4 linked regions of the Lonchura striata genome follow. The main gene of each other region encodes a partner of the protein of the gene in region 2 in a complex. Links are inferred from orthologs where the notes say so. Each region holds a gene or a part of one and is shown on either strand. Other genes may lie near its edges.

Evidence for each region.
Region 1: the proteins of RPTOR (region 2) and EIF4EBP1 are in contact, whole or in part, in a cryo-EM structure (PDB 6BCX), measured with the Homo sapiens proteins. The link is inferred for Lonchura striata from reciprocal best matches to the Homo sapiens genes RPTOR and EIF4EBP1. Residues at the interface, in NP_065812.1 of Homo sapiens: Arg54, Arg305, Thr317, Asp321, Phe337, Arg338, Leu341, Ala344, Arg348, Leu437, Gln438, Leu440, Leu441, Ser442, Gln443, Arg446, Tyr475, Lys478, Leu479, Gln481; in NP_004086.1 of Homo sapiens: Glu111, Ser112, Gln113, Phe114, Glu115, Met116, Asp117, Ile118.
Region 3: the proteins of RPTOR (region 2) and ZFYVE28 are in contact, whole or in part, in a cryo-EM structure (PDB 9F43), measured with the Homo sapiens proteins. The link is inferred for Lonchura striata from reciprocal best matches to the Homo sapiens genes RPTOR and ZFYVE28. Residues at the interface, in NP_065812.1 of Homo sapiens: Arg54, Arg305, Arg306, Thr317, Asp321, Phe337, Arg338, Leu341, Ala344, Arg348, Leu437, Gln438, Leu440, Leu441, Ser442, Gln443, Arg446, Pro474, Tyr475, Lys478, Leu479, Gln481, Ser482, Ser483, Ala484; in NP_066023.2 of Homo sapiens: Arg399, Val400, Phe401, Phe402, Met403, Asp404, Asp405, Val406, Glu407.
Region 4: RPTOR (region 2) and RICTOR share a complex: the UniProt entries of both Homo sapiens proteins name them as parts of the mechanistic target of rapamycin complex. The link is inferred for Lonchura striata from reciprocal best matches to the Homo sapiens genes RPTOR and RICTOR.

What each region holds. Positions count from the first base shown.
Region 1 is NC_134634.1:4,353,522-4,361,143, reverse strand, and holds the start of EIF4EBP1 (eukaryotic translation initiation factor 4E-binding protein 1), read right to left. Parts: upstream 3,003-7,622; 5' UTR 2,912-3,002; coding exon 2,764-2,911; intron 1-2,763. UniProt on the Homo sapiens protein: Repressor of translation initiation that regulates EIF4E activity by preventing its assembly into the eIF4F complex: hypophosphorylated form competes with EIF4G1/EIF4G3 and strongly binds to EIF4E, leading to repress translation.
Region 2 is NC_134621.1:11,400,816-11,408,806, forward strand, and holds the start of RPTOR (regulatory-associated protein of mTOR), read right to left. Parts: upstream 3,009-7,991; 5' UTR 2,760-3,008; coding exon 2,598-2,759; intron 1-2,597. UniProt on the Homo sapiens protein: Component of the mechanistic target of rapamycin complex 1 (mTORC1), an evolutionarily conserved central nutrient sensor that stimulates anabolic reactions and macromolecule biosynthesis to promote cellular biomass generation and growth.
Region 3 is NC_134606.1:9,003,984-9,011,965, forward strand, and holds the start of ZFYVE28 (lateral signaling target protein 2 homolog), read right to left. Parts: upstream 3,009-7,982; 5' UTR 2,855-3,008; coding exon 2,816-2,854; intron 1-2,815. Other genes in the region: CFAP99 (cilia- and flagella-associated protein 99), read left to right, coding at 6,410-6,529. UniProt on the Homo sapiens protein: Negative regulator of epidermal growth factor receptor (EGFR) signaling. Acts by promoting EGFR degradation in endosomes when not monoubiquitinated.
Region 4 is NC_134642.1:36,611,099-36,618,534, reverse strand, and holds the start of RICTOR (rapamycin-insensitive companion of mTOR), read right to left. Parts: upstream 3,012-7,436; 5' UTR 2,981-3,011; coding exon 2,932-2,980; intron 2,773-2,931; coding exon 2,725-2,772; intron 1-2,724. UniProt on the Homo sapiens protein: Component of the mechanistic target of rapamycin complex 2 (mTORC2), which transduces signals from growth factors to pathways involved in proliferation, cytoskeletal organization, lipogenesis and anabolic output.

The sequences.
Region 1 (7,622 bases), on a different chromosome or scaffold from region 2:
GAGGCAGCACTTCAGCCTGGGTTACCCTTCCAGAATTCCAGGTGCGCTGACACTGTACCTGCCACTAAAGGTGACACATTGGTACCCAAACTCTGCCAGCTGCTGCCCCAAGGCAGCACAGGGCTCCAAACCCCAGGCAGGGGCTGCAAGCAGCAGATCCAGCCCCTTCCACCTCGCTCAAGGTCACACCAGCCCACAGAGCAAACAGAAAACTGAATTTAATTCCCACTGATGGCTGAAAGCTGCAGGTGGACACACACCAGGGGACAGGACGGGGCAGAGCCGTGTCCCTCTGAGCTCTGCCCAGCGGGAATTCCTGCACAGACACTTCCCTTGGCACAGCAGCACTTACACATACCTTGCTCAGGGCTTACACAGATGGTTAATGTTCCAAGGCTTAACCAGGAACCACCCAGCTCCAGCCAACCACGCTGAGCCTCCAGGCATGGATTTCTAGGAACACCACTGAACACCCTGTTCCTTATAAAGGAATTTCATGGAAACAGCTCAAAAACCACAGGCAGAAAAGGGATCCCTCCAAACAGCCCACAGCCTTAACCCAGCAAGTGCTGGAAAAGAGTGTTTGCTTCACAGGAGGAGGCTGCACACCCCTCTGGATCAGGTGTGCCCTGCTCTGCTCCCGTTCCAGCCAGAGGGAAAGGGACTTGTCCTTGTGCCCTCCCCAAAAGCATTAACTAAAGTACACACGTGTGGGCAAACAGCTCCTGCCACCATCTGTCCCGGAGCAACCAACTCCCTGTGGTTTGAACACTGTAAATATACAATAAATACATAAAACAACACGTCCAACAGCTGAGTTCTGCCAAGGAGTTCTCAAAACACCAAAAAGCTTTTAACTGATGATTCTGAGCTCCAGTTTTCGGGAGGACGATCCATCCCTACAGTCAGCTGCCTGGGAGAGGGGTGTTAAAATTCCTGGGAAGCTCCAGGAGGAGGACAGGGATTCCTAGAACTGCAGCTCTGTACCAGAACTGGGAGCTTCCACCTTTCTCCAACAGCCTCACGCCCAGAGCTCCTGAAAGCCAGGGGCCAACTGGAGCAGGACACTCGGGGCAGGACACTCAGCTGGGGCAGGACACTCAGCTGGGGCAGGACACCCAGCTGGGGCAGGACACTCGGGGCAGGACACTCGGGGCAGGACACTCAGCTGGGGCAGGACACCCGGCTGGGGCAGGACACCCGGCTGGGGCAGGACACTCGGGGCAGGACACTCGGGGCAGGACACTCAGCTGGGGCAGGACACCCGGCTGGGGCAGGACACCCGGCTGGGGCAGGACACCCGGCTGGGGCAGGACACCCGGCCTGGGCTGTCACACTCCTGCACCCACCCAGAGCCGCGTTCCCCGCAGCTCCCCGGTGCTGCCAGGGGGTGTTAGCAGGAAAACACACACAGCACGGGATGCTCTGCTCCCTGCAAGCCCCTCAGGGCACACACACAGCCCCGGCTGTCTGTCCTCCAGCAGCTCTGGAGCCTCCCTCCCGTCAGCACCGCAGCAGGGCCGAGCAGCACACGGTGTCCCCAGCACGGGACACGGCGGCCCCGGGCAGGCGGGGACGGCCCCGGGCGCTGCCAGGTGGGCACACCCCGGTCACAAACGCGGCCCAGCTTCTCCTCCTGCTCCAGGCACTCAGGAACTCCGCGGGGACAAAGCGCTGACAGCCCCGGAGGGCTCATTACTGCGCACCACTAATTGCTCATTTCATTTCTGCCGCGCCAGTCGCTCGTTATTTCATTTCTGCCGCCTGACCCGGGGCTGGGGAAGGCTCCCACACCTCGGCACGACTCCTGCAGGTGCTGCTGGAGCCTTGAGCGATTCGCTGCTCCCAAGGAGGGAAGGCAGGGCCAGGACAGCCCCAAAGCTCGGCTCTCCTGCACACACAGCCCGGTGAGTCAGCAGTGCCGCTTCCTTCTCCCCGCGTTCAACCCCTGGAGTCCTGCGGGGGATCGGACAACCAACACCCCCTCCCTGCCCTCCCACGGTTCGTCCTTTTGGCTTCAGCCTTCCTGCTGCTCGCATCCAGCCGGGCAGGGATGCAGCGATCTGCAGCGGCACCGCGGGGAGATTCTACAAGGTGTGGAAAGAAAATCATCCCCAAATCGCCCCAAGCCGCGGCTCAGGGGCAGCAGAGGCCGCTGGAACTCCCCGCGCTGACCCTGTGCCATCACCTGGAACTTCTCTGGGGCCAAACTGCCAAAAATGAACAGCCAAGGAGTGCTGGGGACACAAAACCTGTCTGACAGAGGAACGCTGGGCACAACCAGTTTATTTCTCTTAGTCGAGGATCAAATCCCTACAGGAGGCTCCTCTCCTGGCGGCTCTGGGGCTGCAGCAGACGGAGAGGGAAGGAGCCCACGGCGAGCTGCAGCAGCAGAGCCCCGCGCCTCCAGAAACCGGAGCGGTTTGCGATTGGAAATAAAGAAAAAGGTCCCAGGGATTACTGCCAGGGAAAACAGCAAATATCAGCGCTCAGAATTAATCAGTAACCATGGAGAGGCCGGGGCTGCTCCCTGCCAGGCTCCCCAGCACGCACCCCCGCACCCCCGGGCAGGCGCTGTCCGGCTGCCCCGGTCCCCCGAACTCCACCGAGCCCCGGCACCGGCCGGGGGCTCCCGGCGCTTGTCCCGGGACAGAACGGGAGCGCTCCCCCGGCCCTGCAAACCCTCGCTCAAAGCGAGCCGTCCCTCCCGCGGTGAGACCTCCCCGCTCCCCCCGGCACGGCCCCCGCCGGCCCGGCGCTCACCGCCCGGCGTGGTCCCGAACACGGTGCCCCCCGGCGTGGTGCTGTAGTCGCCGGGCGGCAGCGGGGCCTCGTCGGGCAGGGCGAGGCACTTGCCGGGGCCCGGGATGTCACGACTGGGCGTCTGCCCGTGGCAGCAGCGGCCCGACATGACAGGAGCGATGACGGGAGCGGCACCGGGAGCGGCACCGGGAGCGGCACCGGCGCTGCCGCCGCCCGCCCGCCGCTTCCGGCCAGGGCCACGCCCCTTCCGCCGCGGGGCGTGGCCGGGAAGGGGCGGGGCTTAGCAACAGGGAGGCGTGGCTATGCTAATACAGTTGGACTTTAGGGGGCGGGGCTTAGCGACAGGGGCGGGATATGCTAATACAGATGGGCTCTTCGGGGCGGAGCTTAGTGACAGGGAGGCGGGGCTATGCTAATATAGCGTGTTCTTTGGGATGGGGCTTTAGCGACAGGGGCGGGGCTATGCTAATACAGATGGGCCCTTCGGGGCGGGGCTTAGTGACAGGAGGCGGGGCTTAGCGCTACATGGGCGGGACTCCTGGCGGGTCCCCTTTTCTCCCTTTTTCTCAATTTTTCTCCCCTTTTCTCCCTTTTTCTCAATTTTTCTTCCCTTTTCTCCATTTTTCTCAATTTTTCTCCCTTTTTCTCCCCTTTTCTCCATTTTTCTCCCTTTTTCTCCCTTTTTCACCCCTTTTCTTCCCTTTTTTGGCCCTGGACACCCCTGGCCTGTGCTCCCCGCTTTTGGGGTCGCGCTGCCCCGTGCTTGGCGGGGACCCCGCGGAGCCCCCGGGGGTGTTGGCGGCGCTGCCCCTTCGTGGCCGCCGCTGCCCACGCGGGGTGGCCGCTCTGGGAGGTCCGGGTGCTCCCGTGGCAACGCCGCGGGGACAGATGTCCGCCCGGCTGCCCCCATCCCAAATGGCTTTGCCTCCCCCGAGGGCCGGGAACAAATGCGGGAGGAGCCGGGGGGCCACACACGGGTCCGGCGCCCCCCACGCTGTGTCCCCGAGGGTGCTCCGGTGGGGCTGGAGCTATGGGAAATAGGGTTTGTCTTAATACTTCATTACAGAGGAGATCTAAAGAGCAGCCGAAGTGCGCTGGGAGGGGCGCAGGGTCGGCCGGGCGGGACCCCTGGGCTTGGCATGGGGGGGGCTGCGGAACCCAGGGATGAAACCTGGCGTGAAGCCCCTCCGAGCATCCCTGGGACCACCCTGCTCACGGGTACCCTCCAGAAAAAGCCCTTCATCGTTCCCTGCTCCCCCGGCCGTGGCCACAGGCTCTGCTGACCCTCACCAGACACCGGTGCGGTGCTGACATCTGCTGACGGCCGGGCTGCCGGGAGCCGGGATGCCGGGATGCCGGGATGCCGGGATGCCGGAATGCCGGAATGCTGGTAGACGGGAGCCGGGAGCCGGGATGCCGGGATGCCGGGATGCCGGGATGCCGGGATGCCGGGATGCCGGGATGCCGGGATGCCGGTAGACGGGAGCCGGGATGCTGGGATGCCGGGATGCCGGGACCCCGGGATGCCGGGATGCCGGGATGCCGGGATGCCGGGATGCCGGGATGCCGGGATGCCGGGATGCCGGGATGCCGGTAGACGGGAGCCGGGATGCTGGGATGCCGGGATACCGGGAGACGAGAGACGGGAGACGGGATGCCGGGATGCCGGGATGCCGGGATGCCGGGATGCCGGGAGACGAGAGACGGGAGACGGGATGCCGGGATGCTGGGAGCCGGGATGCCGGGATGCCGGGAGATGAGAGACGGGATGCCGGGATGCCGGGATACCGGGGTGCCGGGATGCCGGGAGCCGGGATGTTTTCCAGCGCGGATGCCGGCGCAGCCGCCGGCAGATGCCAGCAGCGTTTCGGCAGCGCTGAGCCCGTGTCGCAGCACCACGGGGTCACCGAGGCTGTGGCAGGGATTGTCCCGGACCGGGGCGTGAGGCTGCTCCTCTGGTGGGACACAGCAACCCCGGCCTGCCCAAACCATGGCCCCGGCTCCAACAGATGGAGCCCGGCAGCCACGCACGGCTCCGGACCCCAGCCCGGGGCCAGGCTCATCCCGCGGAGCCGCGGTCCCGCCCCGGGGCCCTGGGGGCTCCCGGGGGTCGCTGAGCGTTTTCTGCGGGGCAGCAGCGTCCTGCCAGGCTGGCCATGGACACGGGTGTTTCTGCCCCCGAGGTCCTGTGGGACCCCAGCCAGGCTGTGGTGCCCCCAGGCACCCCCAGGGGCCCAGGCAGGCTGTGGTGCCAAGCAGGCAGCCCTCGCCCTGTGCCAGCTGCTGAATCGATTAGTGGGCACTGGGGCAGGAAAATAACATTTCCGGCATGGAATGACATCAGCAGTGACCCCCAACCCAGAGAGGCGGCCGCTGCCATTTCCTCCTCCTCCTCCTGCTGGAGAACAGTTATGGGGTCAGGGACGGGGGAAGGTCGGGGCTTAGGGCACATCCTGGCTGGGGCAGAGCAGGGTGTCACCCTCCCGGTGCCTGCTGGAGTTCGGTGCTCCCGGCAGCACACAGGGGACAGGGACAGGGACAGGGACAGGGACAGGGACAGGGACAGGGACAGGGACAGGGACAGGGATCCTCCTGCCCTGGACAGGAGCTCCAGCTGCCCGGGAGCTGTCTGCAGGCAGAGAAGAGGCTTTGGGTACTCTCCCACCCACACCACAGCACCCTCCGGTTGCAGAGTGCTCCTCTCCAGGGCATTTTATCTGCCCATTCCACGGGCAGCTCCCAGGGCTGGAAAGCCCTTTGTCATCCTCATGTGATATGAAGTTATCGCATTATTGCCTTCTAAATCGGGAGCAGAAGTGCTCTCCGAGGTGTCTGTCCCTCCACCAGCACTGCCTTTGCTTCTGACCTGGTTTGGATCGCTGGGAGCTGAGCAGGGCTGGCTTTTGGGGAAGAATTCACTCCACTGCAGGTCCTGGGGAAGAAAATGTGTTTCATAAGTCACGAAATGTCCCTGTCCCTGGTGTGAGAGCAGCCCTGGGGGATGGCAGCAGGGGCAGGGGCCATCGCTGGCCCCACTTGCGCCCCACTGGTGCCCACTGGACTGTGATTACAGGAAGGTTTGCTGAGACAGGAAGCAAACAACCCGAGGGAAGGATAAACTCCTGCCTGGCGGGCTGGCAGCTTTCATCTCGCCCCATCCATCACCTCCTGTCTGGGTGTCTCCCGCGCGGGAAGGCTCATCCCCAGCCCCCTCTGCAGCCCACCCCCCTTGGGGGCCTGGGGACCCCACTGCAGCCCCGTGAGGGCGGGGATGGTGACGGACCCCACGGCAGTGAGGATGTCCCTGTGCCGCGGCATTTCCACCCCATCCTCTGTGTTTACATTCCCTCCGATGGCGGCTGGCGATAAGGACAGACCCGGACGAAGCCACATCCCTGCTGCCCGCCCGAGGCTGCTCGTGCAGATAAAGGCTGCCCCATAAACAAGCCCATCCTGCCTTTGGGAAGGGCATCTCCGCTGGCCCCAGCCCTCGGCAGGAAACCCTGTCTGGGACGTCCCCGGCGCTGCTGGGGGTGCTCAGCACCCCAAAACGCAGCCCTGGGTCCTGGAAACAGCCTCAGTGGCACGGGATTCACCCTGGTACCCATGGCCAGAGCCAGAGGAGCAGTGTTTGGCTCTTCCTCCTCCTCCTCCTCCTCCTCCTCGTTGCTGCCTGCAGACATCGGGCTGGAGGCAGACACAGCCTGTGCCGGCTGCAGGAGGGGACATGGGGGCTGGGGCAGGGATGGGTGCTGCTGGGCACAGCTTGGGCAGAGGGTGCCCGGGCATGCAGGGGGCAGAGGAGGGGCAGGGGGAGATCCGGGTGGCACGAGGCAGCTTGGCCGCTGTCCTGTGGTGTGGCTGGGCTGGCAGGCGGCTCCATGTGGCGCTGCTGGCACTCGCTCCCTCATCCCTGTCAGCTTCCCCCCCGCGGGGCTGGACCCTCTCCCTCCCACCCTGCTCTGGGGCACAGCTGGGAGTGCCACATGGAAGCGCCTCTCTCCCTCGGAATGCCCTGCCTGAAAGCTCTCTCTGAGGCTATTTCTGTTGTTGTTTTTTCTCGATACTTCCCACACTTTTTGTGAAATCTAGATCCGTGTTATTGCAAACTTCTCCCTCCTTCCCCCACCCCAGTTTGCTTTAGCAACAGCTGAAGGAAAACCAGAAACAACGGGAAAGGAGCTGTGAAAACATCTGTAAAGTCTTGGCAGCCCTGACGGCAGCAGGAGGACTCCCCCGGCAGCTGGAGGGAGATGGGACCTGTAGAAATGAAACCTGCAAGGCTTGATAAGAATGTCAGAAATTGGGAATAACTGCTGCAGGTACTGCCCTGCTGCTTTCCTCTCAGCAACGCAGGAAAGAAAACAGCTTTACTCTGATTTATTTTTAAATTTGAAACCGTAATTGCGCAGCGGTCTGGGGGGCAGGAGCAGGACCTGGGCTTGCCTTAGCGCAGCCTTGGTCACTGGCCGGGTTTCAGGATCTCGGTGCCCCTTTCCCTCATTCTCCCCGCGCTGCCGCGGCCTCGGGAAGAGCTGCAGCCCTGCCGAGCTGTGCCCGGTTCGGGCTGCCTGCTGCGGGCAGGGCAGGGCAGGACGGCGCCGGGGCAGACCTCTCCTCCCTCTGCTGCCCTCGGAGCGATGGCGGTGCCGGTGGTCCCGACCGCAGCCTCCACTGCGGGTTTCCCACCCCTCAGCCCCCAGCTGTCCATGCCGGGGTGCCCCAGGCGAGCAGAGGGGTCCCAGCAGCCCCGCCCGGGCCCTGAAGGGCAGCGCGGCTCCTTCCTCCGAGCTGCGCGTCCGTGGGGCCAAACACGCTGGGAACGGGCTGCCGGCCAGCGAGCAGTGACCTCAGCCCGG
Region 2 (7,991 bases):
CTTTGAGCACCTCTTCGTTCAGAGACAGGCTGGGGTGTTTAATGAACAGGCATGGCCCAGCCCGGGCTGGGAGGAGTTCGTTTTTCAGACTGAAGGCACTGCAAGGTTTCCACACTCAGCTCACAGCCAGAGGCACATCCCCTCCAGCCCTCAGGGAACCTCCTGCAGCAGCAGCAGCAGCCCAGAGAGAACAGCACACCTCGGGTCCATCAGCCCTGGCTTGTGGGAAAGGGAGCCAAGAGACAACAGGAGCTGCAGAGAATTGGGGATGGGGACAGAGGCTCCCCCTGGGCCTGCAGGGAAGGAAGGGGCTGAGCTGGAGGGGCAGAGGGACACCAGGGGCTGTGGGCACTGACAGAGCTGCAGCAGCACCCTGGAGACAGAGCTGGAAAGCAAGGAAAGAGGAAGAGAAGAAACTTCCTGAAGACAGCTGAAACTAGAAGTAATTAATTTATGGTGCCAGAGAACAAAACAAAGCAGTTCAGGAACAAAAAGGGGGAAAATCAACAACCCATCAGTTTTCACCCTGATAGCACAGGCTGCCCTCACACCACCACTGCCTCACAGGAAAACCCCACAAACACCAAGCTCCTGGGGTTTTCTCCAGGTGCTCCATTCCCTGGACAAACCTGTCACACCCAGCTGGACCATGGGAAAACAGCAGCATGAGTGAGCTGCCCTCCCTCCACCTTCTGATCATGGACACGAGGTCAAACCAGATTAGATTTTATGAACTATTTTGCAGGATTAGCCAAACTCAAGCTCACTGGGTGGAAATATTTACCGGACATCACCCCTGCAGCAATCCAAGCCCCATCCCCTTCCCTCCCCAGCTGAGGTTCTGTGGTTGTTACCTCTCATTAAGCACTGGGGAGACAGCTAGTGATAGCTGAAAAGGGGAATAAAACACAAGACATGACAAACAGCTGCTGAGATTTAAAAGTAATGAGGTTGAGCATTCTCAAATCAGCTGCTCTTCCTCTCTCAGGTGTCTTTACATGCTTTTGGTATCTTCCTATGTACCTGCTCTTCAACAAAAACGTAATTATACACAACAGCAAGTTTGTCCAAAGGATCCCTGATCCAACTGCCCAGATACAAACGACACCCGAGCCACACCACTGGCCCTGGTGTGAAGTCATTTGGCTCCAGCTGACAGCAAAAATAGGACTAAACTGAAAAGTCGAGCTTTGCTTCTATTTTCTTCTTTCACAAGAGTCAGATTCAGCATCTTGCAGAGTGACCCAGGGCCCAGCCCCACCGAGCAGCAGCAGCAACAACCACGACGTTTCTGGCACGGAAAGTCCCACAGGAGGGAAATGCAGCTCCATGGACTCGGGCAGCAGGAGCTGGGTTGGGATTGCCACTGATGGTGGCAAGCACATGAAACATTTCACAGCAGCCAAAGAGAACCCCTGAGCACCCCCTGAACTTGTGCTGCTGCTGCTGCTGCTGCACAACCTATGATCAGCACAACCAGGGCAAAGTCATTCCTGAATTAGAAAGAGGCAACTCTGCAGATCAGGGATGAAGGAACAGGAAACATCTCAGGAAGGCAGAGGCACCTAAAATAGACCAGCAAGCTCATCACACCTCCACAGTCTACTGGAGAAAGTCTCCTGTGTGCCAGAACGCTTTGGAGCACAGCACCCAACGTGGTGCCTTGTGCTGCCTTGTGCTGCCTTTAAATCACACCCAAAGTGCTCAGTTCAACCCAGCAATGAGCTGCCAAGTCCCACCTGCAGTCCACGGTTCAGAACTTCTGAGAAATGCAACCACCACTCTGGGAACACTGAGACTCAGGGATAGCCTGGGCAAAGAGCTCACAGCCTGCAGTTTCAGTAAGTTATTCCATCCTGTTACAAGAGGATCATAAACGTACTGGAAAACTGGTCACCAGAAAAACCCATAAATACCTAGAAACACAAAGTTATGGGTTTGAGAGCTGGGAAAGCCAGCAAGGCTCCAAGAACAGAATGAGGGCAGATGATGGTCCAGGACATTTCTTAGGTGCTTTGTTTGCTCTTTACTGAGACATCCCACAGAGGCAGCAGAGGATCCCAGACTCCCAGCTGGGACGTGTCTCTGTCACTCCCAGTGCTCTCAGGAACACACAACATGTCCCCAGACACCCCAGGAGCTCCTGCTGTAACACAGCCAGAGTTCTGTCTGAAAACTGTGTCCTGCCTCCAAAATCCCACAAGCTGTTTGTGCACAGGACACCCTCACTGGACACTGCACACAGCACCCTGCTGGCACAGCAAACCCACCCAGCTCCTGTGCAGCTGCAATTCCTGCACCTGCTGCTCCTCCTGACCTCGGGTGCTTCACTGCCTTGCCCAGAACACACCAAGCTGCATTTAAAGCGCCAAAGTGGTGGAGCTGCTCCAAATGCCCAGGGCTGTAAACATCACAGCAGTGCCTCTGGGCCAGCTGCAGGTTTGCTGCCCCAGTCCCGCAGCACTGGGACACAAACTGTGGCATCCACAGGCAGCGTTTCACCTGACAACAGCTCAGCCCCCTCTGAGCTCCGACTCCTTTTCCACATGTCCCCCGACTGCTCCTGCTCCAAACCCCACGGTGCCCTGGAGCATTACCCGGTCCTTCATCCTCCAGCTCTGAGCCAAAGACTTGGAGCCTTCGATCTTCTCGCAGTGCCTTTTCTTCATAAAGGCCAGGGGCAAGTTCCAGTCCGTCAGGTCGGACTCATCCTCCTCCCCGAGCCCCAGGAGAGGCGACTGCAGCATCTCAGACTCCATGGGCGGGGAGGCGCCGGGCAGCACGTGGGCAGCGATGTCCAGCCCGGCACCCAGCGGGGCCGGGGGTCCCTCCGGCCGGAGGGGGAGGCCGGGGCAAGGGCAGCGGGGGCAGCGCTCCCCGGTGCGCGGGTACGGACGGACCAGGGGCACGCAGCGCCTTCACCTGGCGCAGGCAGCGGCCCCGGCCGGGCTCGGGGGCGCGGCCCGGGGAGCACCGAGGGACCGGCGGGGACCGGGCCCGGGGCCTCCCTCGCACCTCTACCCCCGCGGGCCCCGCGCTCCCTGCGGCGGGCACCGCGCCCGGCCCATCGCGGCTCCCTCGCACACCGTCGGGCCGAGGGCGGCTCGGCGAGCTGCGCTGCGGGGGCGGGCGGCGGCGGACGGGACGCGCGTCCCGGGGCGCCGGCGAGCGCGGCTGGGCTCAGCACCGCGGCACGGGGGCGGCCATCTTGGCCGGCCCACAATGCCCCGCGGTACGGGCCGCCGCGCGGGACACGCCGCGCCGCCGCGGGGACGGCCGTTGCCACGGGGACGGCGCGGCCGGCGCGGGAATCCCGGGATCCCAAACCCCGAGGCTGGAAAAGCTCTCCCGGCCCATGGAGTCCCAGCTGTGCCCCGTGCCCACCTTGTCCCCAGCCCGGAGCGCTGGGTGCCACATGCAGGGATGCCCTGGACGCCTGCAGGGATGGGCGCTCCAAACCGCCCTGGGCAGCCCCTGCCGAGGCCTGAGCGCCCTCTCCATCGCTCCTGGTGTCCCTGTGTGGCACTGCTGTCCCTGTTCTCCCCGAGGAGACTCAGCTCAAACCCAGCTGAAAACCAATCCCCGATGCCGAGCTGCTGGCTGGGAGCAGTGCCGGCCTCACCCTGGCGTGTCCTGGTGCTCCAACACAGCCAGGCACAGGTGCCAGCGCAGCCATGCCTGATCTTGGGCTTCACTTCGCTTTGTTCTGTGTGCTCGTTTACTCTGGGGCAAAAGAGCAGGAGAGTGCTGAAACCGGGCACAGCCCCCTGCAGATGTGTCTGGTGCATGGTCACTGCACACACCAGGAAAGGCAGGTGAAGCATTTCAGGCATAGATCCTCCTTGCCATTCAGCTGAAGGTTAATGGATAGCAAATATTGCTGCTAAGGAAGTTCCTCAGTGTTTGCTCCTGGTGGTAGTCGAGCCCTGCCACATTCACATTTGTAATACTCAAATGTGTAAACATTATTTCAAAGTAGAAATTAAAGAATATACGTGTGTAATTTGATTTACAGAACCATTAATTTTCATATACTTTCAGTGTGTTTACACTCATGGAATATTTCCAATGCAATGACCTTTCTTTACAAGAGATTGGGAGATTGGCAAATGATGTTTCTTGGGGTGGCCAACTTCTGCTTTTTCTCCTTCCCTTTCCTGAGGAGCTGATTCATTGCCTCATGGTGCTTTGTGCTGATGGCTGATGATAGCTGCATGATTGTTATCAGAACGAACTGCCTGGCTGCAGAAAATGCTTATGGCCTCGTTTCTGCTAGCCTTTAATGAATTCCTCAACAGCAGCCACACAAAACCAGAGAATTGCAGAATTCTGGCACGCTTTGGGTGGGACGGCAGCTTAAAGATCTTTATTTCCAACCTGCTGCTGTTGCACTACAACACAAAATAACTCACACATGCACGCTAAGATCAAAAGAGCAAAAGAAAGCAAGTTTGATTTCTGACCTCGCAATATACAGAATTCCAAAAGTGACAGTGGATTTGAGGAAGAAATTGCCACCTCTCCAACCACACTGGTCAAACCAAGTCCATCAACTCTCTCCTCCCACAAAAAAGAATTCAAAACAATCATTATTTACATGAAAAATGTGTGAGAAACTCCAGTAGAAATATATAAACATCAGAAGGCATAGAAAACTTTTAAAAGAACTTTAAAACCTTCAAAAGAACAGGGTGACATGCTGCCATGGAGGGCTCAGAGAAACAACCCCAACAGCGCACCTGAAGGAATCCCAGTCCCTGGGGCTGCACAGATGGATCCCCCTAATCCCTCTGGGCAGCGAGGGCCCGGCCTGGCTGAGCGTGCCGCAGAAATCCCCGCCGAGGGCACAGCTGGCAGCGGGCACAGCTGGCAGCGGGCACAGCTGGCAGAGCCGCGTGCCCCATGCCCTTCCCTCGGGCTGCCCGTCCCCTCTGGGCTGCCTGGGACACTGCCCTGCTTCTCTGGGGTGAGCTGGGCTCTGCTGGCCGGGCTCCAGGGCACGGGGATGGGCACGGGGACAGCAATGGGGACGGAGGGCTCAGCGGTGCTGCCTTGGCTGTGGGCTGGGAGCCACCAGCCTGGCTGCTGGGCACGCACAGCGCTCCCACGGGATCTCAGCTTGGCCTCTCCACTGCACGGCTCCCACTGCGGGTTCCACCCTCTCCTGTTCACTCCCGGCACTGCTGGCCAGCCTTCCCTGCTGCCAAAGCTCCGTGCCAGGGCAGAGGTGGTGCCAGTGCTGCCCTCAGGAGCGCCCTTTCCATGCACAAGCAAGCCTTCAGCCCCAGGTTCTGGACAGAATAACAGATTAAATTACCCCCTTGCTCCCAGGGAATCCGAGGAGTGGAAGTATCATGTCAGGTAAGGCACCGTGAGTGATGCCCTTAAACCCAAAATGCAGGATTATCTTCCAGAGACACATTTGGACACATTCTCCCACCTGTCACTCTTTTTAATGAAAAATCCTCCTATCTCAGGCTCTGTCGATGTCCTTTGTTTTGCCTTATTCAGCCATCTAATTCTAATTCCACTTTTGGGCAGGAAGAAATACAGATATGGAAAGAAGAATGTTGCTCATAAATATCATGAGAGATCTTATATTTTGATTCCATTACTCAAACCCACAGGTCACCAAGTGAGTCAGTTGGATGCAAAGCTCTGTTCTCAATGCCCACAGGCCAGCAGGCCACCTTCCCTGAGGCTCTAAGCGCAGGTGTTGGAGTGCAGGTGGCCACGTTCCTTCCCCAGGGCAACCCCTCAGCCCAGCACTGCCTGTTTGGGGCATTTAGGGGCAAACAAACGAGGTTCGTTTTAACATTTCAGTCGGGGCAGCTTTACAGCCTAAAGACAGTAGGTAAAATATTTATCGGGAAGAATATCTATTTTTAAGCAAGCCGGGTTTCAGCGGTGTTATTTATGCATGCGCGGCACACAGATTTCCTTCCCTGCTTCCCAGCAGATGTGAGTCGGGGCTGGGAGCCCGGGGAGGCAGGTGAGAAGGGGGCGGGCGGGCTCTGGGCCAAAGCCGATACGCATCAAAACATGATTCACACACTGACTCCCGGCTCGGGAAGCCTCCCGGTGACCTCCCCGGCCAGACCGAGCAGCCGCGGCCGCTCCCGGCGCTGCCCCCTCGCTGCAGGCGAGCAATCCTCACACAGGCACCGGTGCTCCCCAGAACCCCGAATCCCTTGCCGGGGGGGTCTGGTGCTGTGTCTCCTCCCCGCAGCTGCTCCTGCAGCAGCTCCTGCTGCAGCTCCGCCTTTCCGAGCACAGGCACCGGGGCAGGGATGGAAAGCTGAGGCTTTCCCTGCCCAGACAGGAACCACAGAATCTTCTGGGTTGGAAAAGTCCTCAGAGACGATCAAGCCCAACCACTGGCCATGTCCCCAGGTGCCACATCTGCAAGGCCTTTAAATCCCCCCAGGGATGGAGACTCCGCCACTGCCCTGGGCAGCTGTGCCAGGGCTGGACAATCCTTTTGGAGCAAGAAATTTTCCCCAATATCCAACCTGAAGCTCTCCTGGGACAGCCTGAAGCTATTTCCTGTCCTGTTGTTCCCTGGGAGCAGAGCCTGAACCCCCCCAGCTGCCCCCTCCTGCCAGGGAGTTTTAGAGAGTGAGGAGGTGCCCCCTGAGCCTCTTCCCACACCCGTTGTTCTGCAGTGCCCCAGCCCCCGATGTGAAGGGATGTGCTCTTCTGAGCACAGTCAAACTGCCTCAAAAATATGGGAGACATAAAAAGGGTGTAAAGTGGCATCTCAGTCAGCAGCACCCGTTGGGAATATGCAGGGATTCATGTTCTCGTCTCACGCTGAAAAGGCCAGAATAAATACTAGGTCAAAAATCTCTCCTTGCTCTTTTAATGGAAGAAACACTTTGGCATCAGGGGAAATTTTTCACCAAGGAAGAAAAGAGAGGGAAAAAGGAAAGGTGATGCAGATTTTGGAAGCAGAAGATTTATCTGAGAGTTTTATCTGTTGGCTTTGCCTCCCCTGAGCTATAAAAGGGCGAGTTTCCGGATGAATCAGAGGCTGTAGAGTTTCGTTAATGAGTGCATTTGACATCCTCGGATTCCAGGTAGTACACAAGTTGGAAGTCATTTAGACCGTGAAGCAGCCGCCGCGTTTGACCCCAAAGGCGACTTCAGTTCACGGCAAATGTAAAGATTTCTGTGTTCCCGGCGGCGCAGGGGAGACTCAAGCGACCCCTGCGCACACTGACAACAATCGGCTGCTTAATGGAGCTGTTTTTCTCATAAAGCCTGAGCGAGGCTGCACTCGATAGTCGGGGATGCGATAGATCGGAGGGCTTGGAGGAGCTGTTAATAGAGTTCTCCAGCCCCGGCATCCATCTCCGAGCCGCTCATCCGTTATCATTATCTCCCTCTGTCTCCTCCAGGCCGGGCAATTTGCGAGGTGACGGCGCTATGCGTGTTTTAACAGCACGTGATCGATGTCACCTCGGCAGATATCCTCTGGTTTCCTCGTTATAAGCGCAGAAATGTTTCCTTCAACACCACGTCGCTGTTGTAGATCGGTATCAGCTCTGACAAAACCGCCCCACATCACCGGGAGCTCCGCTGGTTCCTCCCATGTCTGGCAAAAGCCTTCAGCCCAAAAGCCTTCAGCTTCTTTTTGCAGCCCACGTTCCCACGGGACAGGCAGGACCTGACATTTCCCTTTGGCTGATAAGAAATAATTCAGCATTTTACAGGGATTTCTCATCCTGTCCTCACTTGAGACCTGGGAATCTGGAAGCTGTTTCATGGAGCTGCCTTTGGAAATGCCAGCCCAAAGATGGGGAGGGAGGTTGCTTTGGAATCGGAACCAGAACTAGAACCGGTTTGGTTTGATGATCTGTGATAAGAGGGGCAACCGCCAAGAGATTGGGATCCCACCAAAAGAGTCCCAGAATGGAGAAATCCAGCCTGGCTCGCCTGTGGAAGGTAAACCAGTAACGTTGGTTTTGACAGAGGAACTCAAAAATCTC
Region 3 (7,982 bases), on a different chromosome or scaffold from region 2:
ATATTACAGACAACATTTTAAAAATTAAACAATCAATGTGGCACAGGAGGCTGGAAACAAAATCTTGTCTCTGCTCTGTCTCCAATACATCAGTTAAAAGTCTGCCTCCCGGCAGCTCTACAGATCACGTCACTGCTATTTATTTCATTCTCTGGTTACCTCTACCGCTGGCATTTGATCCAGTTTATCAGAATCTGGCGTATCAGCATACCTGAGGAACAGAGCTGGGCAGGAAGAGCACTGACTGAACAAGGATCTAGGGAAGCCGTGCTGTTCCCGTGACACACTCACAACATTAGTCAAGATCTTCCACTTCCTACACCCACATTTTCTCTCTCATTCTTGGTATGTTCAAACAGATGCAGCAGTTGCCAAGTAAATACCCCTGCCTCGATGCAGGTCGTGCATCTTGCAGTAACTCATGATTACCCCAAGATTTTTGTGATTTCACCTTGTTAAGCACTCTATTTCATTACCTTGTCTCCACCATTTAAAAAGATTAAGCTGAATTAATTTACATATTTTGGGGCTGTGTTTTTTCAGGGATGAATTATGAAATAGTTCCCCTAGGATTAAGCTACACCATATATTCAGATTTTTGAGCAGGCTGTACTATGAATTTGCTGCACTCTGATGTCATCCCACCCCTTGCCTTCAAAAGTACCTCTGAATAGACACCAAAGCTCTGGGCCAAACACCCAGTGGTATCAAAATCTGCTGCCATACACAAGTCCTATTATATGACAGTAGGACCTGGAATATTTCAGAAGAAGTATTCCCCATCACTGGGAGCAGCAAAACCTAACTGATAAAATGCACCTGGAGCCCACAGTACCTAACAGAAGTAACATAAATCCTGAGACCTGAGAGCCCCCACCAGAGTAAGTATTCAGCAAAGTCCTCTTCAAAACACATTACATTCAAAACAGACTCTGGAACCCACTGATCTTTTGGGAAACATTGCAAATTCCTTTAAATACAAAAGCAAGCAATACAACCAGGAAAGGTACAGTCTCTACATGTGAGATCCTCTGCCTCACCTTCTATAAAAGAAGTGCTATTCAAACCTCTGTGTATTTAATGACACGATCCACACCCACTCAACAAGCACACCAGGAAAAATGCCTTTTTCTGGAGCTCTTACAATTCACCAGAAATGCATTCTGAATACCAGAACAAAAATGACGTCGTAAGCTACTGAAACTAAGAAAAACTGTTGGCAAAGAAGGTATAAATAGACAACAAAAAGCAGTGGTGCTGGTTCTAAACCAACAACAATAGGCGTTCCTGATTTATGAGGCCCATTGTCATGCAACAGGCTTGAAAAGTCACTTTACCCCAAGAGAAGTCCCACAGAACTATAAGTATACCTTATTTGATACAGATCCTGAATGCCCAACACATGCCTTACAAGAAAGGGTCAGCAAATTAAAAAACAAGTTTTATCACAAAAAGATAAAATTGCTATAAGAAAGAAAAACAATGTGAAATCTAGTGACTTTTGTTTAAAAAACAGTGACAAGAGCTGTATTGAAAAATATTTCCTCTGCATTTAACAGTTTTCCTTTTTGTTCATTAACTATTCTTCCCTTGTATAAAACACCTACAAATAAGAAAATTCAATTTAAGTTACCTATAACTTGTTACTGTATTTCTGGTTACTAAATCTCTACATTCTCTCTCTTGCAGTTATTAGCAGCAATATCTGACAATTATGCGTTCTTCAGCAGTTCCCAAAAGTTAGGACTACATGTAAAATCCATAAAGCCAGTGTAATATGAACTTTTATTTTACAGCATCACCTTGGCTTTTTTTTTTTTCACTGCAACATACTGGCCAAAATACAGCCAAAAGAACGGAGTACATGGAAGGTGCACAAACTGAGACCCAAGACTGATAGCAAAGCATAGGAAAAAACGTCTGATAGAGACCAACAGAAACCAAAATTAAATCAAATACTTCAGAAAGTGAATAACTATACTGACTGCTGTAACGGCCGGACAAGAAAAAGATGCTAGAGATGTTCAAAACCAGTAATGTCCTTGATTTACGAGCCGAACATCACACACCAGATAAGATCACTCTCCAGACAGTTGTTACTTAACTCGAGGCAGAGGATGATAATTTCGTTGCAAAGCAAACTGCGATTCTTGGATTCCTTCCAAGAATTTCAAAGCGAGAAGGGCACAAAACACTCACAGAGCACCTCGCAGTAAATCTCCTAACTTCCGAAGTTTCCAGGTGCACACACACAGCGTTAACGGCACAACAGGAGCGCCCGAACATCTCCCGGAGCCGGGCTCGGCGCAGCCCGCAGCGCCCCGGGAGCGCCGCCCGGGCTCCGCCGCCTCCCCGCGGTGCCGGCGGAGCCCCGAGCCCGCCGCGGCTCGGAGCGGCGCCGCGGCTCGGAGCGGCCCCGCGGCTCGGAGCGGCCCCGCGGCTCGGAGCGGCCCCCGCTCGGAGCGGCCCCGCGGCTCGGAGCGGCCCCGCGGCTCGGAGCGGCCCCGCGGCTCGGAGCGGCCCCGCGGCTCGGAGCGGCCCCGCGGCTCGGAGCGGCCCCGCGGCTCGGAGCGGCTCCCGCGGCTCGGAGCGGCTCCCGCTCGGAGCGGCCCCGCGGCTCCCGCTCTGCTTTGTCATCCCGCCGCAGCGGGCGCCGCGCTCCGCGCCGCTCCCGCGCTCCGCCCGCGGGCTCCGCTCGCCCCACACGGCGCCCCCGGCCGCGGAGCGACCCGCGGCTGCGCGCCGGGAGCCGCGTCCCGACTTCCACCCGCGCCGTGACGGTGACCCCGGGCAGCGGCGGCTCCTCGCAACTTGCCTTGGGTTTGTACAGCCACTTTCTGAACCTGTTCATCATCACCGCGGCCGCTGGCACCCCGCTGCCGCCGCCGCCGCTGCCACGGGAGCTGCCGGCTCCACACCCGCGCCGCTCGGAGGACCGAGGCGAGCCGTGCCCCTGGCTGGGAGCTCCCCGGGTCGCGCTCTGCTCCCGCTCCGCCGCGCTTCCCCGCGGAGCGGCCGCCGGGCGCTCCCGTCAGCGCAGGGACCGTCCGGCGGCTCCGCGCGCGCCGCGCCGCCCCGACCGCCCCCAAAACATTGCGCGGCCGGCGGCAGCGCCGCCCCACCGCGCATGCGCGACACCGCCCCCGCGCCCTCCCCTCCCCACCCAATAGGGTGGCGGCCCGGGGCGGGCACGCGCAGTTGCCCCGCCCATCAACCTGCTCATTTGCGTAACACGTGGAGGGGGCGGGAAGATGCGTGCCGCGCAGGCCACGCCCCGGCTAACGCCTTGTTGCGGTGGCTGCCGGGAGTTGTAGTTTTCCGCGGGCCGCCCTGCGCGCGTCCGCTCGGGACTCGCAGACCCTACCAACGCCCGCCAGCGCTGTCCGTGCTCCAGCAACCGGCGCGCCACCGACCGCTGGCTGTCCATGAGCGGAAACACCCGGGGGAAAGGTACTAGCTCCGTGGCAACGGCAGCAAACAACCGCCGCCATCTTGTTTCCGCGCTCGTGTAGTTCCGGGTGCCCGGTCGCGCCGTTTCGCAGCACTGAGGCGGGCTCGCAGCAGGACTACAGCTCCCAGCAGCCCTCGCGCTCCTTGGCAACGGCGCGCGCGGGGTCGCCGCGGCTGGAGGGACCGCGCCGGGACACGGAGCAGCCCGGGACGGGAGCGGCGGGCACGGCCGGGGACGGGAGGGGCAGCGGCCGGGCGAGGCAGATGTGGCCGTACGTGACACCCCCGGAACGAGCCGGGTGCAATTCCCGACGCGTGAAAGCGGCGGGTGCCCTGGGCAGGCTCGTGGCTCCTTCGCTCCTTTGTTTTCATGCAGTCCTAGGATCACAGAGTGGTTTGGGTAGGAAGGAACCTTAAAGCTCATCCGTTCCCAACGCCCCCGCCCTGGGCAGGGACACCTTGCTCGGGAGCCGGCTGCTCCAAGCCCCATCCAGACCGGGCTGGAGCACTGCCAGGGATGGGGCACACACAAATCCTCCGGGCAGCCTGTGCCAGGGCCTCACCACCCTCACAGGGAGGAGTTCCTCCTGAATGTCTAATCTAAACCTGCTCTCTTTCAGTGCTCGTATTTATTAGCTGTTTGTAAGTACAACAGAAAGCATCAAGGGGCCTTACAAGTGTGTTATGCTGTGGACAGGGTTGCTGGGCTTTGTCCCCTGAAATTTTGGGCAAGTAGCCAGCCTTGGTGAACATTTGTTAACCCACCTCATAAACATAGTAAAACTTATTTGCAGAAGGTTTTGTACAATAAGTATTTAATTATAAAGTTGTGCAAGCTAAGAGATAAAAAAAATACCACGTCATGTTAAGGAAAACACTTGCAGTAGGTATGCAAAACATTCAAATACATGAAAAGTAAAATTAAGATCCTCAAAGTGAACATTTTCCATCTGATCTGTCTGAATTTTGCAGGGAGGCTTAGTTCAGCTCTTTTTAAGGACAGCTTTCATTAGAGGAAGTGCAATCACAGTCTTTCTAGGCCAGGAATGTGGGAGCAGATATAAAACCTGAAAGAACCTTTCAGGTCACTGAAACCAATTCCTACAATTGTGGCCACTCTTATCCTCTGTAATTGCTTTCAAAATATCTCCAAGCTCCACCATAAAATAAGGTCAAGTCAGGTTCTCGCCTCCTTTAACTGAAATCTACAGCTGATAATGGAAGAAAATTTCTGCCATTTTATACACAGTATAAATTTATATCACTTTGATACATAATAACTGGAGTAGTTTTCTAATCGATTGTGTGGAAATAAGGGTGCATATCATACAAGAAGCATTTTATTCTCAATGTGTATGTTTTTAAAACATTGCCAAAAATAATAACAGCTTATTAGAAGTGGGGTCTTTTCTATTAAGACCCCCTATGTGTTCAGAGATCTGAAGGCATCTTAGTTTTCACATTCCAGTTTTGGGGCTTAATGATTGTTATTTGGGAGGAGGTGTGGATATCAGAGCATGAGAGCTCGAATTTCTTACTGGTATGCCAGAACAAAAAGCATTTGTTACTGGCAGAGCTGTTGGAGCCTGAATTATGATTCACTCTGAAGTACAGAGATATTCCTCCCTCGCTTATCCAAAATCCCTTGTGAGTGTAAGAACCTTGGCAGGTTCTTACCTGAGAAAAAAATGATTCTCAGAGGAGTGGAGTAACAGTGATTCCCTTGCACAGTGGTGCCTTTTTCTGTATTTGTCATCCCTTATTAGGATCCAACCCTGTTTTGCTGGACTTTTTTTTTTATTTAGACATTTTGTCTTAATCATAACAGGTACCTAAATGGCTATAGTGAATGTAATCACAGACAAACTCTTTTTTTCAGTTCTTTGAGATTAGGAATGAAAAGTGCTTTTTAGGCAATTACTTAGTAAGATGGTACTGAAAGGTAGAGTACAATACCACTGTGTCTGGAAATATTATCATAATACTTAAAACGGAGAAATTAATTATGTTTACCACAGTGGGGATGAATCATCTGGATCAGGCATTCTTTATTGACGTCAAAATATTGTGATATATAAAATACAAGAATTATTTTCAAAATTACATTTTTATTTTCACCATGGAAAGGTGCTTTTGTTCTCTTTTTTTTTTTCCCATTGCTAAACCAGCTTAATGACTTTCAGGCCTGGTAATTGCTGTGATTGGTCTTTCATACACAACAACGTGTGTGTGTGTGTGTGTGTGTGTGTGTGTGTGTAGGAACAAATGCATTATAGTTCTTGTCATCTGAACATTAAAATTGAGGTAACAAGTCCTACACATTCTCAGACATATGGGTAAGGCTTCATTTGAGAGAGACAAAATCCAGTCATTTCACAAGAAAAGCATCAAACATAAATACTCAACTGCTGTGCCTTCACAAACCTTGGCAGTGGCCCAGACCACTGAAATGCTGTGATCATGGCCCAGCCTGCTGACCAACAGTCACTGCTTCCTTATAATTCCTCTCTGTTCCTGTTCTTTTGTTGCTTTTGAAAAACAGGCTGTTTACAGCAACATGTGATGAAATTTAAGACTAAAATTTTGCTTTCTGATACATCTCACTGGGAACAGCAGTGTGTTAAGTAGGACCTGTGTGCACACAGGGAAAAGTCCATGTTTCTTTCTATATTATCTTTAATTATATTTTGTCAAATAACCTGGTGCAGTAGCATTTATCCTTAAGATATTTTGAGATATTTACAATATGTCATTTTGTCTTTTGTTTTCTTGATGTTTGTACTGTATTTTCATTTCCCCTGTCAGCTGTTCTGAGTAACTGTGATTTTGAAAGCTTGACCTAAATGTTCTCTTCTGCATTACTGCAGTCTAACTTCTGTATGAGCCTATCACCATGCATTATGCCACAACTGAAGGAGGCACGAAAAAATAATGATTTTCTGTATTTATAGGATTCTCCATGGTGAAGATGGTCAGCCACAGAGAACTTATTGCACTAATAGTGCAACAGCTTAACAAATTCAACCCTGAATATCAGAGCATGGAGGATTTCTTGAATGAATCAGCTATGATGTTGCAGGTATATTAAGTTTTGGTTGATCTTACACAGTTTACTTTGTTACTGTGTGATTTTAAATGCAAAGGTATCTGTTTTCTAACGTGTTGTTGTAGCTTTCATTGATTTCCCTTACAGTGACATTTTTTGTTCATGAGTAAAGCCTAAATTTCTTATGGTTATCACCAGAAAACATGGCAGTAAAGCCCAGAGGGGTTGAAAAACTGCTTGGATAACAACAAGAGGAAGGGAAAAAAAAGCAACAACCTTCTAAAATTGATGAGATAGTCATAGGGAAAACTTCTGTTCCACTTCTGATTAAGCTGTTTTGAAGATTCTTACTCTTTTCTTCCTTCCAAGCAGAAGTTTCTGACAGCACCACCCATTTGTATGTACAAATGCAGGTCAGAAGCTGAGTCACAAGATCAGGTATTCTTGCTTTGAGGACATAAGTGACCACCACAACAGTGGGATAGAAGGACAGTGACAATAAATCAGCCAGCAGATTCTAATGTAATACTGCAAGTAACCAGACCATGATTTTCCCATTTGTTTCTGTTCTGGCTGAAGCAGTTTCCATCCTTTCCTGACCATAATGTGTCACCTCTTCCCATCTCTTTGTCCTCAGTGTCACCCTGAATTGTGCTGAGGCAGCTAGTGGAGTGAATCAGCTTTAGCAAATCACTAAGGGAAAACAGTAATATTGTTTAGACTGCTATTGTCTGTGTGTGCCGTGTGTTATCAAATGACATTGCTGGAGCCCTGATTCCACACTGCCATGTGGCTCCAGTGCTCATTTCCCCTTCTGACAATAAGGTATAAACCACTGCTATTCCAGTCAGATAGTCTTTTGCATTGATTTTGCATAAATACAAATGAACTAAAGGAATATAAAACTGTGGAGGTGTGGTAAGAAAGCCAGGGGCTGAGCAGTGGCTTCACACCCATTCCTGGGGTGCTTGCCTTCTCCAACAGTTGCCACTCAGGCCCCTTTTCTCTGACCCTGCCCTCCTGCCTTGTAGTACTGGCTTAACTCTTTGTGATTTATATTCTAATTACATCAGGGAACTGATCCAGTTTCAAAGTAATCATTTTTCACTGGGCAGAGAGCAGGTAAATTCAGTTACCACTGCTGCCAAAATAAATGTTTACAAAATATGAGTCTTCAGATCATTGTTCTTCTCAGCCCAGGAAAGGTGATAGATACAAAGACAAAAGAAGGAGTGAAATATGAATTAATTAGTGAAATATGAATCCAAAGTTTCATAATAAACCCTTTAAGAAAGGGAAGGACAGGGAGGATAGCTGAGGCCAAAGGCAAGGCCAAAATCTTTCTCTGGGTTACTTTTAGGTCTCATAGAATTTATCGAAGAAAGTAAAAAGTAAGACCTGTGTTTATATAAAATTCAATTTTGGTTCAGTACCAAATGGGTGATTAAAATTCATCATGAAAAATTCACTTAATTCTTTCTTTTCT
Region 4 (7,436 bases), on a different chromosome or scaffold from region 2:
GCTCACACATACCTACACACAAAATGAAGCATTCACCACCATGCAACATGGCTTTCATAAGCATAATGTATCATTTTTAAAAAGGCAAAGCACCAAAAAGCTCCAAAAAGTAAACCTAGTATAGCAGTCATGTTAAAACTTTGTAAAAAGCTTGGTGTCTTCTGGGAAAACATGAGCAACCATGTAACTACAGGACCAGAGAAAAGAGCAAACCAAACTATACAGAGAAATGCAGATCACTCTGCAAGCAGCAAGGCACTCTTCAAGCCTTACTGCTCAAAAAGCCAGGAAGAAGCAGAACTCAGGGCAGCACAGACTGGAGTGCTCTCCCCACATCTATTATTTGTTTTGAAATTCTTCATAACAGCACTGGCCTCTTGCATGGAAAGTGTAGTCACAGGTATGGACGAGTCAAGGTCTAACCTCTGGGATAAGTCATGCCATTACTAACAGGAACCTATCCAAAATAAGGCAGTACCAATATAATTTCTTGTGTTTGTAACAAAGAGGCCCCTGTAACTAGAAGCATATGGCTGAGGCTCTGTTTATGGCAATTCTCTGCTTTCCCAAATCAGATATTTCACTTTAATCAACACAAAGTTCAGTTGTACCAGGAAACAAAAAACATTAGAACATTCTTTTAAGCTAATGCAAACGTGAGCCCTGTGGAAAACTATGTGATCTGCACAACACAGTGAATCAAAACATTGTGCTATTAGTACCAAATTAGGGTAACAAAATATTTAAAATAATTGCTTACATAACTATTGTAACAGCTGGAAAAACAAATACTCGTTGTGTTCACCATGGAAATCAAGTTATCCTCTAGCTTAATGTCTTGCTGAGACTTTTAAGCTTCTTATTTTTGTTTCCTCTTTAAAATGCAATTAATATCTACACAGATATAGAGTGCTATACGGTTACTGATCAGTCAGCTGTAGTCTTTCTAACAGAAAATCGAAAACCACTGGGTTTTTAACATCTAAATTTAAAGTAGCTTCTCATGTGATTTCCCCAATGATTTATTCTTTTTGGTAATAGAAGATACATTGCCACAGTGCAAAATACCTTTTTTAATAAAAAAATAAAATGAAAGCACATATTAAAAATGAAGTTTGCATCTTACTCAAGAGCCTCTTTTACAATATTATACACGTGTAATAGTTGTGCTGCTACTACTACAGGTCTCTTGGAATCAGCAGGCAGCTGAAAACACCGCATGGCAAAAATCAATATCACAATGATGGTCACCTATCAAATACTGATTAGAAGATTTCAAACAGACCACATCTCGAAAGTACCACTCCAGCATTTAAATTTCATGTATTGTTCTTTCACCTCAAAATATTTCAGTATGCTACAGAACATTAAAAAAAATTACAAGACCCATTCATTAAAATACTAATTCTGCAGATTTCATAAACGGGCAACATTGCTTACAGTAACAACTTTGTCATGTGCTTAAACTGTTAAGGCCTTCATTTCCACATTTTGCTGATGAAAGCTTCACATGCTTTAATTTTTAAGGACAGCAGTTCTCTAAAGTGATCATGTCCACTGGGAGATAGAATAAGAGTCTGTTTCTTTAAACTGAGGAAACCCCAGCAGTTTGCCAGGTTATTAAAACTCACTTGTAAATATGGTATGTATACACAGAGATAACTTGCAGCCCACGACAAAATTGGTTAATAAAATAACTCTAAACACAGCTTACTTTGTGGGAAAAGAGAATTAAATAACGTATAATGCAGTATCAACAATTCTAAAATGAAAACAGTACTTCTTCTGCTGGTATTTTTACTTCCTTTCCATTTCATAGGCCACTTTTATCTCATTGATTCTGTCATTTCCCTACCGACTTCCCCATAAAATAGATCTATTCAGCATAATAGTCATCCTGGATCTCCTGAAGCAGAACAGTTACACACCAGTATCAACTTCATTCCCTCCCCAGACAAGTATCCTCTACCCACGAAATATCGCCACTTATAGAGCAGTAACATTCAAGTCTGCTTTCTGAATTATACCAGTCTCTTTGAGAGGGTCTAAGTCTTACCTCAGTACTCAGCTAGGCAAGATCACGTTTTGTATCCTATACGTGTGGGTAGGGAACGAGTACCTGTTATGTCTGAGACAAAACTTCTCAGCGTGTAGCAGATATCAGCGCTGTTTCCTTCCTCTTATCATTCCCCCTCCCCGCCCCCCCCCCGCCACAACAGACCGTCTGAGAGCAGTGGAGGATGTTTGAAGCAATTTAACAAGCAAACGGGAGATGAGTGGCCGCTGGTCTTGGAGCAAGAGGCTCACGGCAAATGGGGTGGCCAGCCGGCCTAGGGCACGCAGAGATACACGAAAAAGGAATGGAGTAAGGAGTAGAGGAACAGACGCCGCTGCCGAGCTGCTGCTCGGAGACGCAGGGCACGGTCGGCCGGAAGGCTGGCCGCCGTGAACAACCCTGTCTGCGAGCAACAGGGGCTTCAAGGGCAGCCCCAGCGGCGGCCGAGCAGCCTCGGCACGCACGGCGGAGAGCAGGGAGCCCCGCGGCTCCGGAGCTGCCCGGGCACGGCCCCGCCACGGTGCCCGGGGAGCGGCTCCCACCCGCGGGCGGCTGCGCTCAGCCCCCGGCGGCGGCCCCGGCCCCGCGCCCGCCCCGCGGCACCACCAGGCCGCTCCGCTGCGCCGCGCCCCCAGCCCGCCTCGGGCGGGCCCCCGCCTCGGCCGTACCTCGGCTGAGATCGAGGGACACGTTCTCCTCGCCGCTGTCGTTCCGACCTGCGGGGACGGGGGGAGAGAGGCGCGTTAGACGGGGGGGGAGGAAGAAGCCGGGGATAAGGAAGAAAAAGGGAGGAGAGGAGCGGGGGCGCCGGGAGACGCCGGCGGGCACCGTGGCGGTGCGGGCGGCGGTGGGGCGGCCCGCGGGACGCTCCTCACCTCGGATGCGGAGGTGCCTGAGCGAGCGGGCGCGGAGCGTCGCCGCCATGTTTGCGGCCCGCAGCCACAACACCGGAAACCTCGCCCGCTCTCGCGAGGCGAGGCGCGCGGCGCCGCCGACGCGGAGGGCGCCCCCGCCCGGCACCGCCCCCCTCACTGCGGGGCGGGGCGGGCTCGGCAGCGGCCTGGCGGCGGAAATCGCTCCTTTTCCTCCTGTGTGTTTGTTTTGTTTTGTTTTGTTTTTGCTGTGTTTTTGTTTGATTCTTTCTTTCTCTCCTCCTCTCTTCCTCTCGCTTTCTTCCTCTCTCTCTCTTCCTTTCCTTCCTTTCCTTTCCCCTCCCGGTTTCTGGGCCTTGTGATGAGGTGGTAATTCACGTGGGTGCGGACCGTCGGCTTTGTACGCCGGATGTTTTCTGCTTTTTTAAAGCGCGAATTAATTAAAAACAGGAAAAAAGAAATAGCTTTTCGTCACTTGTTTGGTTTGTACGTAGCGGGTCTCTCTTTAGTCTCGAGTGCTGATCTACTTCGTAATGCTTATACATTTGTGAAACTTAGTTAATAAAATATATGCAATTTAAAAACAAAACAAAACAAAAAAACAACAAAAAAAAAAAAAAAAAACAAAAAACAAAAAACAAGAACAAACCAGAACCCCAATGTGATAAGAAGTCCCACTGCCAGAAACCGTTCACTGATGTACTGGCTCATCTTTAGGGAGAAATTTAAATTTGCTGATAGCACCCCACACCACACACTGATGTTACAGACACCTGTGGATGAGGCAGATCCTTTAACTCTGACATCCCAAATTCTCTAAATCAAATCCAGCAAATAATTATAAAGTTGAAATGTGGATGTAGCTAGCCATATAAAAATACCTTTACAGGCTTAGGTAACTGCTTTCCTGTTTTCTAGTAAATAATTTTCCAGTCTGAATTTTCCCTCTCAAGGTCTTTTAATTCAGATCCAGCATTACTTATAAAAATCTGGGGATTTTATGTATTCATGAACATTAAGTTTCCTCTCATTTTTTTTACATTTACTGGTTCACTTCTAAAACATTAATACTGATTTAGGAGAGTAAAATAATTATTTGGTAAGACAGAGTGTAAAAACTTTTTGGCATATCCGTTAATGCCAGACATAGAAAAATCTTATTCTATAGCTATATCAAGTATACTTAATTTAAAATATGATCTTCAAAAAACTTCTGCATTGTGATTTTTAAATATGTTAAATATGAAGCTAATGTTTTGGAGGAGCCAAAGATTCTGAAAATTAAAAGCTCTACACAATAAAAGCTCATCTGTTGATAACACAGGAACAGGTTGAACTTCCTTGATCAGGTTCATTAATATGTCTCAGGGCTGTCTTTAGGATCTCATGTCCATGGATCCCTTGACCTCCTGAAAATGCCAAATTAACTGCTGGTGGTAGTAATGCTGCATCCTATTTTCTACAAATTCTGCTGTTGTGTAATTATTTTCACATGACTTTGTGTCCCCACTAAATATTGGTCCAATCTGGACTGGATTTGAACTTGTTATCTATATCTAAATTGCTTTGGACACTTATGCTAAATGTTACGGCCATTCAGCACCTGCTTCTTCCTTAAGAGATAAAAAGTGTAGAAGACATGAGGTACTTCAAGAGAACCTAAACATTGTATTTCAACAAGGGAGAATAAGAAAGGGGTAGTTTGTAAATCCCAGAGTATTCTTTTGCAGATGTTTTCCTGCAGACACTCTTTAATAATCAAAATGTTACATTCATTGTGGGGGGCTTGAGTTTCCTGTGTCTTTTTCACACTAATTATATTTGGATTTTGCAGGCAAAATTTAGGTTGTCTCTGATAATGACACATAAAAGAATGTCATAATGTCACTTATAAGTGCTCTGTTAAAAGAAGTTTGAGGTATAATTAGTATTTGCCACAATTGCAAAAAAAAAAAAAAAAAAAAGAAAAGAAAAATAACACTTAGATTTTAAATTTTTCATTATGGAGAAATGGAAAAGAGTAAGAATGCATTAACCCTAACTACCACTTAGATCCCCACAAAACAAACAAACAAACAAAGGAAAAAACAACAAAAAACCTCCAACAGCCTCACACATAAGGCTGCAAGGAAAGTCAGGGCCTTAAAATGTTGTGGCATAAGGAGTTCCCACCCTAGTTTGGATGTGTTTTAGGAGCTTTTCCTATGTTCTTGTCTTCACTCAAATGTGGGGAAAGAATCACAAAAGTTTATTTAAAACATTTTAAAGTTCCTAGCCTGTCAAATTTTCTACGCACTTTCATCAGCAATTATTGCTCCTGAGTGTGCAGAAGGGGAGAAATATGGAGGTGAAAAAAAAAATCTCTTTCTCCCTTTTGGAGGGGAAAATTAATACTAAAGAGAAAATTAGTTTCTTCACCTGGATTTTGTGTCACGGATTACAGCTGATCCAGTGTATGGCAGCCTCTTCTATTTATTTTTTTGTCATTCAATCTCTAAAACAAAATACATCAAATCACTATAAATCTAGTCAAAGAATAGATATATTAGTGGCTAAATGGGGAATCAGAATGCTTCAATTTAATTCTTCATGTATCATTTTTATGTGAAAGTATGGAGTTTAGTTCTCTATGTAGTTTAGTAAATCTCCAAAATGAGACACAAGGACAGACTGTGAAAGCAGAATTTCCTGTGAGCTGCTGGTGTATTTCCTTTCCCAACTGCAAAGTGTGACATATGAGACTATAACAATCCTCTACTGTCACCTGGAGGTGTGCAGAGGCAGGTTGGTCTTGAAACCAGGGTAAAATGTTCCTACATGTTTAAGGACTGGAAAGGGGCTTCTAAAACCTGAGTCACATTTCTGGGCTTGCATGCAAAGGGCTCAAAAAGAAACTGCTTTTTCCTTTCCTTTTCCAGTCACAAAATTGTTGCTTTTGCCCTCTCATGTGTGGGGCAGCGTTTTTACAGACTGAACAGTGATATGCCATATACTGTAGAAGATACTACTACGTGAGCTATAGATCTTCAAGAATTAAAATCCAAAATAAAGATCAAAAAGGAAAGCTTTTCACTTGTTTGGGGTCAAATGAGAAAGCTAATGGCAGAGCCTTAACTGTCTTGAATCATTTAAACTCCATGGAAATGAATATGGGTGTGCAATGTACACCAGCTGCAGGCTGTCCATTGTATAAATGGAAGAAATAGAAGAAAAAACATAAACTTGAATCAAACTATGCACACAAGAAGATAACTTACTGAATTCAACTGAGCTAGTCTGATTTGTAGCTGAAGAGTATTTTATCATACGGAAATGTACTTGCAGTACTCTTCCTTAATTTGCAATATCATCAAATTGGCTATAAATGAATGATAAATACTGAATGACATGTGGACAAACAGGAAGATAAGAAAATCTAGTGAATGGGATCAATCTTTCTTTGATATTTCTGTACTGTTAGCAAGAGTTTTTGTAATCTCTCTATTTGTTTAGTCTTATTCTTGACATGAAGCCCATCAAACTGCATAGAACATGATAAAACTCTGTTCTCAGCAGCTAATACTGTCAATAGAGGTATGAAAAGGAGAATATAAAGAAACCATTGTGGGATCCCCAGGCTTGCTCTGGGGTCCCATGTGGTGGTGAAATTTCTCCTCCAACCCGTGCTTCCAAAGAAAAACTCCACAGGCTCTTGTTATTCGGTCTCAAGGCAGTTTATTGTTAGTTATCTAAAAGATTGTCTTTGCGGACTGTGGCTGTTTGGTCAGCGGCCCGGGCTGAGGCACACACACTCCTGACACCCTCACTGTCTGCTGTCTTCTTCTTCTCTCTCCCCGCCCAGGGATGCTGCTATTTTTATATGCTATATTATGTTTTATATGTTTACAGTTTTTCCCCAATACCTACTACCTATGCTACAAGGTGTTTTTCTACTCTAAACCAATCCATAAGTGCCAGCATCACCAAGAACCTGGAGGCAAGGAAGAAGAAGGAGGAAGAACAGGATCAGCCCACTTTCCTCCATCTTAGAACTTCTGACCCCCATGTACAAAGTAAAAACCCCTTGTACAGGTGCTAAACTCCCCCTGTACAATACTAAAAAATTTTCCCCTCTATTTTGTAACTACTTTTACTATATTATCTAAGCTTTTGTGACTGCTTGTTCCACCTCCAAAGTTGGTAACTCATTCTGTAGATCGAACTCAAAATCACAGCTGTTTGCAGCTGCCTGCCAGAGTCTAAAATGCTTCTGATCAAGGCCTGGAACCTCCAAAAATGTCTGAGAGACATTTTGAGTTCCAACAGGAGCCCTACAAGGAGCAGCTGAGGGAGCTGGGGGTGTTCAGCCTGGAGAAAAGGAGGCTCAGGAGAGACTTTATCACTCTCTACACTACCTGACAAGGGTTGTATTTAGGAAGGTGAGGGTCAGTCTCTTCTCCCAAGCAATAGGACAAGAGGAAATGGCCTCAGGTTTCAGCAGGGGAGGTTTAGACTGGATAATAGGAAAG